2 linked regions of the Pelodiscus sinensis genome follow. The protein of the gene in region 1 purifies or fractionates together with the protein of each later gene. This does not show direct contact. Links are inferred from orthologs where the notes say so. Each region holds a gene or a part of one and is shown on either strand. Other genes may lie near its edges.

Evidence for each region. Proteins that work in one complex are often made in the same cells at the same time.
Region 2: the proteins of POLR3K (region 1) and PDRG1 purify together in Homo sapiens (affinity purification with mass spectrometry; 3 studies listed by BioGRID and IntAct, with this or other methods). This does not show direct contact. The link is inferred for Pelodiscus sinensis from reciprocal best matches to the Homo sapiens genes POLR3K and PDRG1.

The regions. Positions count from the first base shown.
Region 1 is NC_134726.1:4,937,707-4,945,219, reverse strand, and holds POLR3K (DNA-directed RNA polymerase III subunit RPC10), read right to left. Parts: upstream 2,861-7,513; 5' UTR 2,838-2,860; coding exon 2,727-2,837; intron 2,494-2,726; coding exon 2,406-2,493; intron 1,068-2,405; coding exon 940-1,067; 3' UTR 832-939; downstream 1-831. Other genes in the region: SNRNP25 (U11/U12 small nuclear ribonucleoprotein 25 kDa protein), read left to right, coding at 2,914-3,030, 3,267-3,357, 5,038-5,143, 5,482-5,556. UniProt on the Homo sapiens protein: Core component of RNA polymerase III (Pol III) which synthesizes small non-coding RNAs using the four ribonucleoside triphosphates as substrates. Can mediate Pol I proofreading of the nascent RNA transcript.
Region 2 is NC_134728.1:1,577,944-1,585,457, reverse strand, and holds the start of PDRG1 (p53 and DNA damage-regulated protein 1), read right to left. Parts: upstream 3,464-7,514; 5' UTR 3,387-3,463; coding exon 3,303-3,386; intron 3,219-3,302; coding exon 3,143-3,218; intron 1,754-3,142; coding exon 1,679-1,753; intron 1-1,678. UniProt on the Homo sapiens protein: May play a role in chaperone-mediated protein folding.

The DNA of each region.
Region 1 (7,513 bases):
TATTTCTGCTTGGGAATTACTTCAGGCCCATTGTAAAGCAAACATGAATATTATAGGGTCATGTATGATAAATCTTCAAACAATCCCAGCACCTACTAGAGGTGGGAAACTGTCAGTTTAGGATATGGCTTTGTATTCAAACTTCAGTACCTGGATTTGATTTCTCCAAGTCACGGGAGATACTATAGTGTTTTATATAATCAGAGATCTCTTCACCAAAAGGCTTTTGCATTGGTAACATTGATCAGAATCTACTTAACACAATATCAAAGATTAAAGAGCCCTTTACTACCAGAAATCTCTCACACAACTAGTGCATAAACCTGCACATGGAAAATCAAGGGGAGAAGGGGCTAATATTCTGCTGCTCCAGCTGCAGGCATACAGGCCTCTACCTCTTTATTTGGGAGCCGGGAAGCCTACACGTACTTGTTTTCCCTACAACCTTCTACTGGATCCTGTGCCCCCAACTCTTGAGTACAACAGAGACAAGAGCTGGGTGGACACTTCGTGGTGATGCAAGTGACCTAGCCTCTGCATTGTAGGAGGCGCTGGTGACCCACCACCCTACACCATAGCATCCAATACGCTAGCCACATGTGGCTATTTGGCTGGCTGAGGGGCTAGTTTGCTATAGCAGCAACCACTATACTGGCTACTGATTCAGAACTGGTTAGACACCACAGCTCTAAACAGAGGCAGCTCTTTGTTCTGCTGTGTGTGCCATTAGGAAAATGTGCAGTATATGCATAACCTTCACCCTGGACCATCAGATTATGGTGAATGCCTGCACTAGCAGCAGTCAATGTTAATTTAAACTCATGCAACAACTGAAACCAGGGATATTTATTTCCACATTACCATATATCATACAACTCAGCTGGGGAATTTTCAAACAAACAGCAAAAACAACACTGAAGAAATTAAATCTGAAACCAGTCAGTCCCTCCACCTGTGCCCACACTGGGCATTACAACACTTGTAGAAGGTGGTCATGGGTTCATCAGCTGATCTGGTCTGAATCTGCATGAAGTAGGCGCGAGGATGCTCACACTTGGGACATGGCTCTGTAAAAGAAACCAGAACTCTAGTGAGTACAGCTCCCAGGGTAATAAAGCAAATTCTTCATTCTGCCAGGGGAGCTCACTGTGAGGGCCACTCTACCTGATGGACTAGAATGCAGCCTTCCACAAGCCATTCAAGAGAGATTTCCAAATGTCCACTGGCTCACTTTTTACATGATGAGAGAACTTAAAAGGGCCTTCAGGGGTAGATGAGAACCTCAGGCCACTGTGCTTGAGAACACCCCCTAATGGCACTGAATTTAGCATGTTGGGGACTAGCTGGTTCTAAAATACAAGGGCAACACTAACTATCCATGGAGTCATTGTGGATAGTTCTCTGAAAAATATCTGCTCAGTGTGCAGCAGCAATCAAAAGAGGTGACAATATTAGGAACCAGTAGGAAAGGGATAGGCAATAAGACAAAACATATAATACCACTACATAAATCCATGGTGCAACCACACCTTGAATAATATGTGCAATTCTGGTCACCCCCTCTCAAAAAAAATAGATCAAAATTGGAAAGGGCGGCAAAAATGATCCGTGGTATGACTCAGCTTCTATAGAGAGATTAAATAGCCTGGGGTATTTCAGCTTGGAAAAGAAATAACAGAGAGGATGTGACAGAAGTCTATAGAATGATGACTGATATACAGAAAGTAAATAAGAAAATATTTCCTCCTTCACATGTTATTTGGTGACTCCAGGTTCTTGTGTTAACAGGTAGCAGATTTAAAACAAACAGAAGGAAGTGTCTCTTCACAAAACACAGACAACCTGTGGGACTCACTGCCAGGGGATATTGTGAAGGCCAAAACCATAAAAGGTTTCAAAAGAGGTTCATGGAGGAGAAGTCCATCATTGGCTATTAGGCAAAACTAGCAGGTACACAACCCCATGCTCTGAATGGCTCTAGCTTGACTGCCAGAAACTGAGAATGGGTGACAAAATCCATCACGTGATAACCACACGTTCTATTTGTTCCCTACAAAGCACCTGGTGCTGGCTATGTAATTGGACAGGATACGTAGAGCCCTGCAAATCTGCGGATACCTGCTTTATGTCCGCAAGTATCTGGGGAAGCGGAGACCAGCAGCTCATTTCTGCGGATGTGGATGCAAATTTTTTAATCTAGAACCCTGCAAATCCGCGGGTATCTGCATCCGCAGAGGGGTGGTACGTGCAGGTGTCTGCGGCTCGTTGTGGGGGCTATGGATGCGGCAGGGCTCTAAGGATATGGGCTAGGTGGCCTGTCGCTGGAGCCAGATCTCCTGGAAGGGGGCCCGGGGCCGGCTGCTGGCCCAGGCCAGTCGGAGAGCAGCGCAGAGGCCGGCGCTCACCCGCCGTGGAGTCCACGTTCTCCCAGGCCGCCGCGCCGCCCAGCACATCGTCCACCTCCTTCAGCTTGGGGTACTTGCGGCTGCTCACCTGTGGGGACAGGCTGTGAAGTGCCTGCCCAGCCCCCACCTGGTAGGCGGGGCTCAGGCACGACAGGAGCCCCGCCCACATCAGCCCCACCCTCCTAGCGATTAGCTCCGCCCCCAGCAGCCTCCTCAGGGCAACCCCCGCCCAGGCTCTGATTGGTTGCTCTGCCCCAGCAGGTCGGCCGTTGGGGCTGTCAGTCCCCGCCCACCGAGGTGGCAGGGGGGGGCGGGGGTTACCTTGCGCGTGACGTTGCGCACGTAGGGACACGTGGTGCAGGCGAAGCGGTGGCACCTCGCGCCTTCCTCGGCCACCAGCACGTTCCCGCAGGCCGGGCAGAACAGCAGCATTTCTGCTTCCGGGTCACGGCGCGGCCCCGCCTCTTCCCCCGAGCGGGTCACAGGAAGCCCCGCCCTGCCGGCGGCGATGGCGGAGTCGGGCCCCGAGGAGGAGGAGCTGGCGCACGCCGAGGTGCTCGACCTCTTCCAGGAGGGGCTGGCCCGGCTCGTGCAGGACCCGCTGCTCTGCGACCTGCCCGTGCAGGTAGCGCCTCCCCTCCGCCCGCGCGGCGCGCGCCCGGCCCCGCCCGCGGCCTCGTGACTGCCCCGCGGCACTGACCGTTAACGAGTCGCACGGGGGGAGGGGGCGTGTCCCGAGCTCGCGCCCCACGTGACTGCGGGTGGGGGCGGGGCGATACAGCCTTGGAGGGGGTCAGACCCCCATGGCTGCAGGAGCCCTGCCGGCGCCGGGCGCTTCATCGGCCCTTCGCTTCCCGGCAGGTCACGGTGGAGGAAATCAATTCGCAGATCGCGCTGGAGTACGGCCAGGCCATGACTGTGCGCGTGTGCAAGGCGGATGAAGAAGTGATGCGTGAGTCCCCCGCACTGGCCTGCGCCGTCTGTGCGGGGTGGTGTTGGGAGCCGCTGGGGGGCCGCTCTGCTCTGGAAAGCCCGCAGCATTGAGTCCATCCCCTCTGGCTGGCGGGACTCGGGCTATGGGGCTAAAACTTGCGGCATAGACATGTGGGCTCAAACTGGAGCAGGGATTCTGAGATCCGCTCCTAGGCTGTCTCTACACCGGCGGGTTCTTGCACAAGAACACGGCCACACTGCCACGTGCTTTTGTGAAAGAGCATCCCTGGCAGTGTGGATGCTCTCTTGCGCAAGAGAGCCATTTTAGCCATCCGGCTTTCGTGCACAAGAAACTCCTGCCGCGCGTCCACACTACCCTCTTGCGCGAGAGCGCTTACGCTTGTTAGAAAAGAGCGTAGCTCTTGCACAAGAAGCCCCATCTTCTGCCGCTGTACTGTAAGTCTCGCACAAGAGCAGGCGGGCAGTGAGGCTGCTCTGCGGGTTCTTGCGCAAGAACGGCCTGTCTTCATTACAGTGTAGCTTTACCTTCTAAGATCACATATATGCTCTAAGTACACGGTTGTCATGTTAAATGGCACATGCAGGGACGGTGTTGAATTGTGTCCCCTGCAAATCACAGCCATGTCCGTGCTCTGAAGCATTCGTCTGTCAGAAGCTGGAGTGAGCAGGGGATAAATGGGAAAGTCAACTAGGTAGGTAGTTGCTGCCAGTTAAGATCTTGGCACAGGGCAGGTATGGGCAGCCCCTGCTTAAGCTGGGTAGGATCTGGGGAGGATATTGAGACCGAGGTTCAGTTCCCATATTTTCTCTTGCCGCTTGATCTAGTGCAGCACTAAGCCTAAGCACATTACCCACAAGCGGCATGTGGCTCTTTCAGGTCTAGCACATGGCTCTTCAAGACTCCCAAGCTGTGTCTAGACTGGCAAGTTTTTCCACAAAAGCAGCCGCTTTTGTGGAAAAACTTCCCAGCTGTCTACACTGGCCGCTTGAGTTTCTGCAAGAACACTGACGATCTCATGTAAGAAATCAGTGCTTCTTGCGGAAATACTATGCTGCTCCCGTTCTGGCAAAAGTCCTTTTATGCAAAGCTTTTGTGCAAAAGGGCCAGTGTAGACAGCTCAGATTTGTTTTGCACAAAAAAGCCCTGATTGCGAAAAGTCTAGACATAGCCCCAGAGTGCCAGGAATCCTGATTCATGGAGCTCCTAGAGGAAGAGAGCTGCTGCTACCCCTCCTTCCCCAGCCATGAACAGCTGATTGGGGAACAGGATTAGTTCAGCTCAGAGGCAGAGCAAGCTCTGGGAAGGAGACCTCTTCCCCTTGTTGGCCCAGGCCAAGGCTGCAGACTGGAGGTGGGGCAGCAAAGAGGACAGGTTTCCCGGGGCCCAGTGATTTAACAGCGCCTGGGGCTCTGGTGCCACTGTTGCCGCAGTATTGCTATTGCAGTGGCAGCTGGAGTCCCGGGCCTTTAATCACTGCCCCTATCCCCGCAGTCCAGGGTGGTGCTGATGGCTGGCTGGGGGAGGCATGGTGTGGTCCCAGTGGTGCTGAGGGCTGGCTGTCCCTTCTGCCCAATGCAGCTCCACTTAAAGTGCCACTTCCAACAGGTCAGGGTGGGGCTCTGCCTATCGGAATGCATCTCTTGGGTTACTGCTAGTTGACAGTGTCTTCCATTTTAGCTGTGGTAGTGGTACAGAATGCCAGCGTCCTGGACCTGAAGAAGGCCATCCAGCGATACGTGCAGCTGAAGCAAGAGCGGGAAGGAGGCAGACAGCACATTAGCTGGTGAGTGGGGGGGCTCCCAGAAAAGACAAGGGGGTGCTATGGGCAATCTGATGCATCTTGTCGCTACCATGTAAAGTAGCCACTCACGCAATCGTGCCCTTTGTGTGTGTGTGTGTGTGTGTGTGTGTGTGTGTGTGTGTGTGAGAGAGAGAGAGAGAGAGAGAGAGAGAGAGAGAGAGAGAGAGAGAGAGAGAGCGCGCGAGCGATCGATCGATCGATCAAATCAAGAGATACCACTGCAGGGTAGAGACCCTTGTAAAGCACATGTGGGGCAGGAAGAGCCTGAAGGCCCATGCTGCTCAGTCATTCCGTTAAGTCATGGAATTTTGCTTTTCCAGGACCTATGTATGGAGAACATATCACTTAAGCTTTGCTGGAGAGAAAATGACAGATGACAAAAAGAAGTTGAGAGAGTAAGTGGCAGGATTTTTCTCTTCACTGAGCCGATTGGGGCTAGATAGAGGCCTGGCTGGATGGGGGTTGTCCGATTATATGCTTGTAAAATGTTTGTGCATACAGGGTTGATCTTTTCCTTTTGATTCTGGTTAGATTTTCCAATGGAAAGCTTGAGAGGTGTGGCTGCCTTGCCTCATAGAGTGCTCCAGGGTCGGTGTTATGGTCACTGACCTACCTGCACATCTCTCCCTGACCTCAACACAGGCATGTGTTTCCTCCCTGGGGAAACCTGTGACCAGCAGCCTCATTAAAACGGGGTTTGCCTAACCCTTGCAACAAAGCAATATGAGGGGGAGATTTTCCAGTACATGGCCAACATGTCTATTGAGTCTAATCTAGTATGTGCACAGTTAGAGAGGCTTTTCTCTTTAGTTACAAAAACAAAATAGAAACTGCTTATATCCCTCTAGCCCAGGGGTGGCCAACCCATTACAGGAAAAGAGCCAAAATAGTTGTGCATATAGTGCAAAGGGGGTGGGGGGAAGTTGTCACAAAAAAAGACACTGCTTTTTAAAAAAAAACAAAACCTCAGGTTGGCTTCTTGGCCATATCAGCGCCATCTTTGCTTCGCTGCGCCGGACGGCTCCTGGTGAGCTCAGGGAACCAGGGTCTGTTTCCAGGGGCAGCTTCACGAGCCATGGAGGAGGGTTCACAAGCCACACTTTAAGGGGGGGGAAGAGCCGCGTGTGGCTCGCGATCCGCAGGTTGGCCACAGCTGCTCTAGCTGGACCAGAAACTCTTGTTCAGACTGTTCCCGCAAAAGTGGGCTGAAATCATTAAGGCTCCTTTCCTGGCTTGGTCTTCTAAGGAACCTCAGTAGAAGCAATTTGGTAACTGTTAGGGCTTTCTAAGAGAACTCATTACTCTCTCCATAGGTTGGTCAGCTCTGCTACTGGCCATGACAGATTCAGTTTCACTTGATACACCACTGCCAGGGCCAACATTTACATTTTTAATAATCATTGACGTTACACACCCTGTGTCAGTATGCCTGGGCAGGACAGCCACACTTCATCACTGGGGGAGACCTCTCCTGGGGATAAAAAATACTACCTCAAATGAGGGCTGTTAAGCTCTCTGAGAGCCTGGTTCCCAGGGAAGTATTCTCTATCCCGGCACTTCTCAGCACTAAGACTTTTGTTGCTCAGAAAGGTGTTTTTTTGTTTTGTTTTGTTTTTTTCCACACCCCTGAACAACTAAAGTTTTAGTGCTAAAAGTGGTACTGTAGGCATTGGCTAAGTGTGCAAGATTTTACACTCCTGGAGGGGGGTGTCTAACAATTGACTTGATGTTCTGAAGTCAGCAAACCTTGAAATTCAACAGAGCAGCCATGAGTCACCCTAACCCTTTCTGGTGGGGGAAAAGCCATTTCCCTAGTCACAGTCATCAAGAGTAGGGTCTGTCTTCCCCAGGCAGTTGCTATTTACAGCACACCAACCATAGGTGTGTGTGTGTGGCTTCCCAGATAAACATGACAAACACTCTGCTCTAAGGGGCTATTTAAGTTAGCCTGACAATACCATAAATGCCCACTGATGAAGTTGGGCTTGGGGAAAGAGAGGCATGGGGTCCAGGGGGATTACTTTCCCTGGGGAAGTAATGGACTTGTGTGCTGTGATGGCGCTGGGAGGGCAGAGATTGGCTGGAACCATGGGTAAAGAGGTCTGGGGCTTTTTTTCTTGTTATGGTTGAACTGGCAGTGAGGCATTGGGATCAGAGGAGGAGAGGAAGCAGACCAAGAACAACCTGGGGGGAGGGGGAGGGGGAGAGTGGCTCTGGTGGTGAGGCAGAAGGGAGTGGTAACATCACCAGAGGAGGGAGTGAAGAGGTGCAGGCTCCTGGCCCTGCTCAGTGGCATATCACTGGGGACCAAAGTAGTTTACAAACCATCTCAGCTCCCCATGCACATACTCA
Region 2 (7,514 bases), on another chromosome or scaffold:
TAGTCCCGTCCAGCTGAGTACAATGAACTGAATGGTAAAAGGTACAAAGTTTGTGGAGCCCATGCAACCTATCAGAAAAGATATGCCACGTCAGTGCTTCTAGCCAAATAGGCAGTTTTTAAAATGGAACCATAAGCTGTCTGGAGCAAGCACTGTCTTTTATTGGGGGGAGAGGGATGTAAGTAACTAACCATCAGGGCCTGTGGGCACTACCACAATACAGGTAACACTTGTAAACCTGCCCACTTTCACAGATTTTAAGGACGGAAGGGCTGACCTGCATAGCACCAGCCAGAAAATGTCACCCGCTTACCCTTGTATTGAGTGCAGCTTTAAAATGTGCCTCCTTTCAATTTCATTGAATGTCCTTTGCCCTTTGCATTAGAGGCAAGTTGAATACACCTTCGCCTGCCCCCCCCTTTTGTTTAATACCTTTATCACATCCCCTCATAGCAGAGATTTTTTTGTCACTCATCTCCAAAGCCCCTCGAATTCTGTTGTGCCTCCTTTGATATGGGGGCCCAATGCTGCATATAGTATTAAAAAGACAGTGCCCTATTGATTTATAGACTGGTACAGCCGGTCCCTGAGTTACGACCGTTCGCATTTACGACCAAAGCTCCCATGGAGCGGTCATAAAGGCGGTCCCCGAGTTACGACCGTTCGCATTTACGACCAAAGCTCCCATGGAGCGGTCGTAAAGGCGGTCCCCGAGTTACGAACAGCGCAGTCACTATGTAACTCAATGGGGTCCGAGTTGCGAACAGATCGAGTTACGGCCAAGTGTTTGGTCCGTAACTTGTTCGTAACTCGGGGAGAGGCTGTATTCAGATATTTTCCATAGCATTCCCCAGCCTATTGTACCCTAACACAGTTTGCTTTAATGCACATCTCAGTGAAATGTATGAGGGGTTCAAATTATTCCCTCTAATATCTATTTGTCCCCACTGAATTCCATCTGCCACTTTGTTGTTCATTTACCTACCTTGCCTGGGCCCCTCCGAAATTCCTCCTCAGCTCTGCGCCCTTAATTCTTTGACCTAATTTGTCCCTGTACAGTTTATACTTAAGTGTTAAAATATGCACATAGTGTAGCTTTATGCATTTAGTCTCCTAGTTTCTTGGGAAAGAGTAAAGTCTCAGTTATGTGCACAATATGGACAGAGACCATCTTATTTCCCAGCTGAGTTCAGTGCCTCTTCCTCTGATCTGCCTCAAGAATGCTGTGCCACGCTTTGAAAAGGAAACACAGGGTACATGGTTCACAATGCAGGTTGGCACATGGGATAAAACAATAACCTGCGTGTTAGGAAACTTGAGTTCTACTCCTTATTCTGCCACTGCTCTGTGTGTGGCAAGCTACTCCTCTGTGCTTCAATCTCCCTATCTGTAAAATATAAATACTCGTAATTAAGCCTTCTCTGTAAAGCACTTTGAGGCCTAGGGATGAGAAGTGCTAGGTAGGAGCCAAGCTTCTACATGGCAGCAAGAATAAAAGCCCCGCGTGCAAAAGCTCTAAGTCGGTAAAGAGAGTAACTCAGCAACTAAATTAGCACAAGTACCACACATCTGACAACTCCTGTGTCTGTGTCCACGGTATGCAAAAAAAACCCCTTGTTCAATACTGGCTGACGCTTGAGTTTTCAAACAGACTTTAGAAATCTGACATCTGTCTTACCTTTCTGAATCATTTCTTTAGTCTTTGATTTTGGAAGCTGAATAAACATGTTTCCAAAGCAAACCATTGCTGTTTCTGAAAAGAGAAAGCAAGCCTATGTAGATATTTTCACAATGCGCTTCTCTGCTTCCTACTGGGTACAAAATAAATGTAAAATCTAACCAGCAGGCTAGCCTTTGTAAATCCCCCTATAGTCTACTCTACAGAATCGTTTAGGTGTGTTTCTAAGAGAAATTAAGCAAGATGCAGTCTCGTGGATTTCAATATTTTGTACTGGCATCTGTATCCACAAAAACGAGGTACAGATACCTGCATCCATAGCCGCAGATATAAAGTGGATATCCACAAATGTGCAGGGTTCTAGATGCAAAATTTGTATCCGCATCCACAAAAATGAGATATGGATATAAAGCAGAAATCACGGAACCTATGCAAGAGTGAGTTAAGTCACCACAAACAATTCTACCCTTTCAGAGCAGAAAGACACACACTTGGTTTCCCAAAACCCTTATTTAGTTTCTGAAACTATTCAATATTTACTACAGAGATCAAGTAAATTTTTAAATGCAGCTCTGTTTTAAGAAGTGACTTTAAAGATGGCATCCCTCTATTTTTGTCTGTAACTTTCTAATTCAATCTCCTCAATTTTTAAATTATAAACGTTTCTTCCAACGACCAGCTCTTCAAAACTAACTTGGGATGTCTGTGCCCAAGTTGGGTTCTTTCACCATCCCAGTGAAGAGTCTGCCATTGGGTCTTAGTTAATAAATCTGTTGCTAAAAACGCAGAGCAGAATATCATGTTCTCATATACAGAGTGGCTGCGTCTAGACTGGCATGATTTCTGTTAAAAGCATTTTCGGAAAAGAGCGTCTAGATTGGCACGGATGCTTTTCTGCCAAAGCACTTTTTGCGGAAAAGTGTCCGTGGCCAATCTAGACGCGCTTTTCTGCAAAAAAGCCCCAATCGCCATTTTTGTGATCGGGGCTTTTTTGCGGAAAACGAATCTGAGCTGTCTACACTGGCCCTTTTGCGCAAAAGTTTTGTGCAAAAGGGACTTTTCCCCGAACGGGAGCAGCACAGTATTTCTGCAAGAAGCCCTGATTTCAGACAGCAGGAAGTCAGTGCTTTTGCGGAAATTCAAGCGGCCAGTGTAGACAGCTGGCAAGTTTTTCCGGGAAAGTGGCTGATTTTCCGGGAAAACTGGCCAGTCTGGACGCAGCCCGATTCCAAGGGCCAGTGAGGGGTTGCAATGACACCCGCCCACACTGTAGGCAAGCAGTGGAGCTGTAGCTGCCTGGCCTGGCTGCAACACAAGGCGGGCCCGTGCAGACTGGCAGGGCGGCTCGGCCAATGGGGGAGCCGGACGCTGCAGGCGGCCCGGGCGGACACTCGCGTGCAGCCCGCGGGCCGCTCTGCAGCGGGAGGGGGGGGCCGCCCGGCGCATGCGCGCTGGCTCCCTCACCGGCGGGCTCCGGGTCCGTCCGCAGCGCCCTGAGCGCCTCCCGGTTCTGGTTCCGCTTCGCGTCCAGCTCCGCGATCTGCCGGAGAGAGGGGGGGTCAGAGCCCGGGGGGGGGGAACGGGCGGGGGGGGGTCGCGGGGGTCCCCCCCCCGCTCCCGGTACCTGCCGCCGCCCGGCCAGCGCCTCCTCCGCCAGCGCCTCCAGCTCGGCCAGGTAGCGCAGCACGAGCTCGGGCTCCCGCGCCATGGCCCGGCCTGTGCAACGCCGGCCCGCCCGCCCGGCAACCGCCGCCGCGCGCCCCGTTCCGCCCCGCCCCGCGCCCGGCCCCTCCCCGCGCCCCCCCCGCCTCCGCCCCGAGCCCCCCCCGCTCTGGTGTTGGGCCCCCCCGCCTCCTCCCCGCGCCCCCCCCCCGCTCTGGTGTTGGGTCCCCCCCGCCTCCTCCCCGCGCCCCCCCCGCCTCCTCCCCGAGCCCCCCCCCTCTGGTGTTGGGTCCCCCCCGCCTCCTCCCCGAGCCCCCCCCCCGCCTCCTCCCCGAGCCCCCCCCCCCGCTCTGGTGTTGGGTCCCCCCCGCCTCCTCCCCGAGCCCCCCCCGCTCCGGTGTTGGGCCCCCCCGCCTCCTCTCCGAGCCCCCCCCCGCTCTGGTGTTGGGTCCCCCCCGCCTCCTCCCCGAGCCCCCCCCCCGCCTCCTCCCCGAGCCCCCCCCCCGCTCTGGTGTTGGGTCCCCCCCGCCTCCTCCCCGAGCCCCCCCCGCTCCGGTGTTGGGCCCCCCCGCCTCCTCTCCGAGCCCCCCCCCGCTCTGGTGTTGGGCCCCCCTCGCCTCCTCCCCGAGCCCTCCCCCGCTCTGGTGTTGGGCCCCCCCGCCTCCTCCCCGAGCCCCCCCGCCTCCTCCCTGAGCCCCCCCCCCGCTCTGGTGTTGGGCCCCCCCGCCTCCTCCCCGAGCCCCCCCCCGCTCTGGTGTTGGGTCCCCCCCGCCTCCTCCCCGAGCCCCCCCCCGCTCTGGTGTTGGGTCCCCCCCGCCTCCTCCCCGAGCCCCCCCCCCGCTCTGGTGTTGGGTCCCCCCCGCCTCCTCCCCGAGTCCCCCCCCCCCCCGCTCTGGTGTTGGGTCCCCCCCCGCCTCCTCCTCGAGTCCCCCCCCTGCTCTGGTGTTGGGTCCCCCCCGCCTCCTCCCCGAGTCCCCCCCCTCTGGTGTTGGGTCCCCCCCGCCTCCTCCCCGAGTCCCCCCCTGCTCTGGTGTTGGGTCCCCCCCGCCTCCTCCCCGAGGCCCCCCCTCTGGTGTTGGGCCCCCCCGCCTCCTCCCCGAGCCCCCCCCGCTCTGGTGTTGGGTCCCCCCCGCCTCCTCCCCGAGCCCCCCCCTCTCGTGTTGGGTCCCCCCCGCCTCCTCCCTGAGTCCCCCCCCCCGCTCTGGTGTTGGGTCCCCCCCCGCTCTGGTGTTGGGTCCCCCCCGCCTCCTCCCCGAGCCCCCCCCTCTCGAGTTGGGTCCCCCCCCGCCTCCTCCCCGAGCCCCCCCCTCTCGTGTTGGGTCCCCCCCGCCTCCTTCCTGAGTCCCCCCCCCGCTCTGGTGTTGGGTCCCCCCCCGCGCTGGTGTTGGGCCCCCCTGCCTCCTCCCCGAGTCCCCCCCCCCCGCTCTGGTGTTGGGTCCCTCCCCGAGTCGTTCCCCCCCCCCCCCCGCTCTGGTGTTGGGTCCCCCCCGCCTCCTCCCCGAGGCCCCCCCCCCGCTCTGGTGTTGGGTCCCTCCCCGAGTCGTTCCCCCCCCCCCCCCCGCTCTGGTGTTGGGTCCCCCCCGCCTCCTCCCCGAGGCCCCCCCCCCGCTCTGGTGTTGGGCCCCCCCGCCTCCTCCCCGAGTCGTCCCGTTCCCCCCCCCGCTCTGGTGTTGGGTCCTCCCCGAGCCCCCCCCCGCTCTGGTGTTGGGTCCCCCCCGCCTCCTCCCTGACTCCTCTCCCCCCCCCGCTCTGTTGTTGAGTCCCCCCCGACTCCTCCCTGAGTCTCCCCCCCGCTCTGTTGTTGGGTGTCCCCCGACTCCTCCCTGAGTCCCCCCCCCGCTCTGTTGTTGGGTGTCCCCCTCCGGACTCCACCTCTAGGGCTAGCCCCCACATTCCTCTCTGGGAGGCCCCATCTGCTGCTGGCCCCTCCCCCCACGCTCCTCCCAGGGGGTTCCCTCCTCCGTGGCTGGGGCTCACCTGGTCAACCCCCCCTCCCCTTGGTCCTCTGTTGCAGAGGACTTCTCCTCCTCCATGCCCCCCCCATTGCGGGGCTCTGTTGCCAAGCCCTCCCCTCCCCATGGGTCTCTCTTGTGGGAAGTGCCCTTGGGGTCTGTCATTCCCTGTCACTCATCGCAAAGCCTGTTGCCAGCCACCTCCTGTCCCAGAAGGACCATTTCACCCTTCTCCACAGTGCATCGGCCTCCGGGCTGGGATGTAGCAATTGTTTAAAAGCCACCAGTAACACTGCATACCAGTTTAGGGCAAGGACTGGCAAAAAATTCTGTTACCTGGACCTTGCAGGGGAGTCCAGGTGGGTAGAACACAGTTACCAACATTGTAATTGACCTGGGGCATTGGGGTTAACAACACAAAACTTAAACGTGGTTGGCCCTGCTGTGAGGGCAGGGGATTGGATTTGATACCCTTTCAGTTCTGGTATTCTGTGATTCTCTGCCATGGGATTGCTAATGATCACCAAGTCAGCATGGGTGACACATGTCCTGCTTCCTAAGTCCAATTCTTGAGACCAGTGACGCACCTGATCTAAACAGACACTTAGGTCTGTCGATTATGGATACTCGTAGAGGTTGCTCAGTTGCATAATTCTTCCTTCGAATTCCGGCTACAGCAGTATCCCAGATAACTTCAGCTTTCAGCTGAGATGTGTGAACTGGCTTTACATTTTGTTCTTCTCACAATAATTGAATGTTTGTGGAGAATGGAGACGTTCCGTGTCCATTTGTAGGGGATGTTTGTGCGTACGTGTGCAAGAAAGAAGGGGGATCTTAGCTGAAGATGAAGTTGTCTTTATATGGCAAACATCATTTGAAATTAACAAACATATTTTAGAGAATTCCCTGCCAGAGAGAAGAGGGCTTAGGCAAATAGCCCCTCCGTTTGAAGTAACTGTGAGGCAGGGCAAAGGTGCTGTTTGTAGTATAAGAGCAAAGCGTGATGTCCAGTCCTTGGTGAAGAATAAGGACAGGACTTGGCAGCATCCCCTTCCATGCCTCTTCTGTTTGATCACTGCCTGGACACCCCTTTGTTGCCAAAACGCTCTGCTGCAGAAATGACAGCTGAATATTTAGCAACTCAGGATGGGGAGATGATTCTGTGGAAGTGAGTCAGCACCATTTTTAATGAAGCAAGCAACTCTGCTGCATGAAATAGTAAATTACATGCATGTAATTAAATGGAGGCTCTCAGAGAAGCATCTGTTTAATGCACAAAAGCAATACAGGCAAAGGATCAGAGCTTCTCCAAGGCTGGTCCCTGCCAAGTCACTGAACCGTTGTCATGACAGTATTGAAGGCTTTTCGTGGCATTAAGAACCACTTCAGCTGCAGAAGTCCTTGGAATAATGCAGCAGCGAGTAACTTTGGCATCCTGTTCTGGATTGCACGAGGGACAAGATTTGGCCAAGGAAATGCACAAGGAAACCTCACAGAATTTGTATCAATGATTGATTTGCATAAAGGTGGGGGGGTTGCTGTGCTTAGAAATCACTTAGAATATTAAGACCCACTCTTGTAGTGCCAAGTGTCTGCAAGGATGGGAAATCAAGTGCGATGAAAAGGCACAATGCAGGCAAACAATGGTACCCATGTGTCTGCAAGCCCTTAGAACATCAAGGAGTGGGTAGGGGAATTAAAGGGGATGAAGCAGTTGGAGAGAAGGTAAATCAGCAACCTTCCTAAAGCAGATGAGAAGGAAATCCCTATTTCAGGAAATCAGAGAATGGCAGGAACAGAGCAAGACGGCTCTGAGGAAGAGATTACAGAACAGCTCAAGTAACTTGAATGCAGGCAGCTCCTGGAACCAGATGGCATTGACACGAGATCGGAAGGAACGAAAATGTGAGGCTGTGGTATGGGCAGGGATCTGGGACTGGTCCCAAACCAGCTACTGAACCTGAAGAATGGAAATTCACCACTGCGGTTATCTTCCACAGAGGATCCAGGGTGACAATGAGAATTATGAACATGCCTCATGGCCGCACCGGGAAAACTGATTGGCTGTGTCTAGACTGGCAAGTTTTTCCACAAAACCAGCTGCTTTTGCGGAAAAACTTGCCAGCTGTCTACACTGGCCGCTTGAATTTCTGCAAGAACACTGACGATCTCATGTAAGAAATCAGTGCTTCTTGCGGAAATACTATGCTGCTCCCATTCAG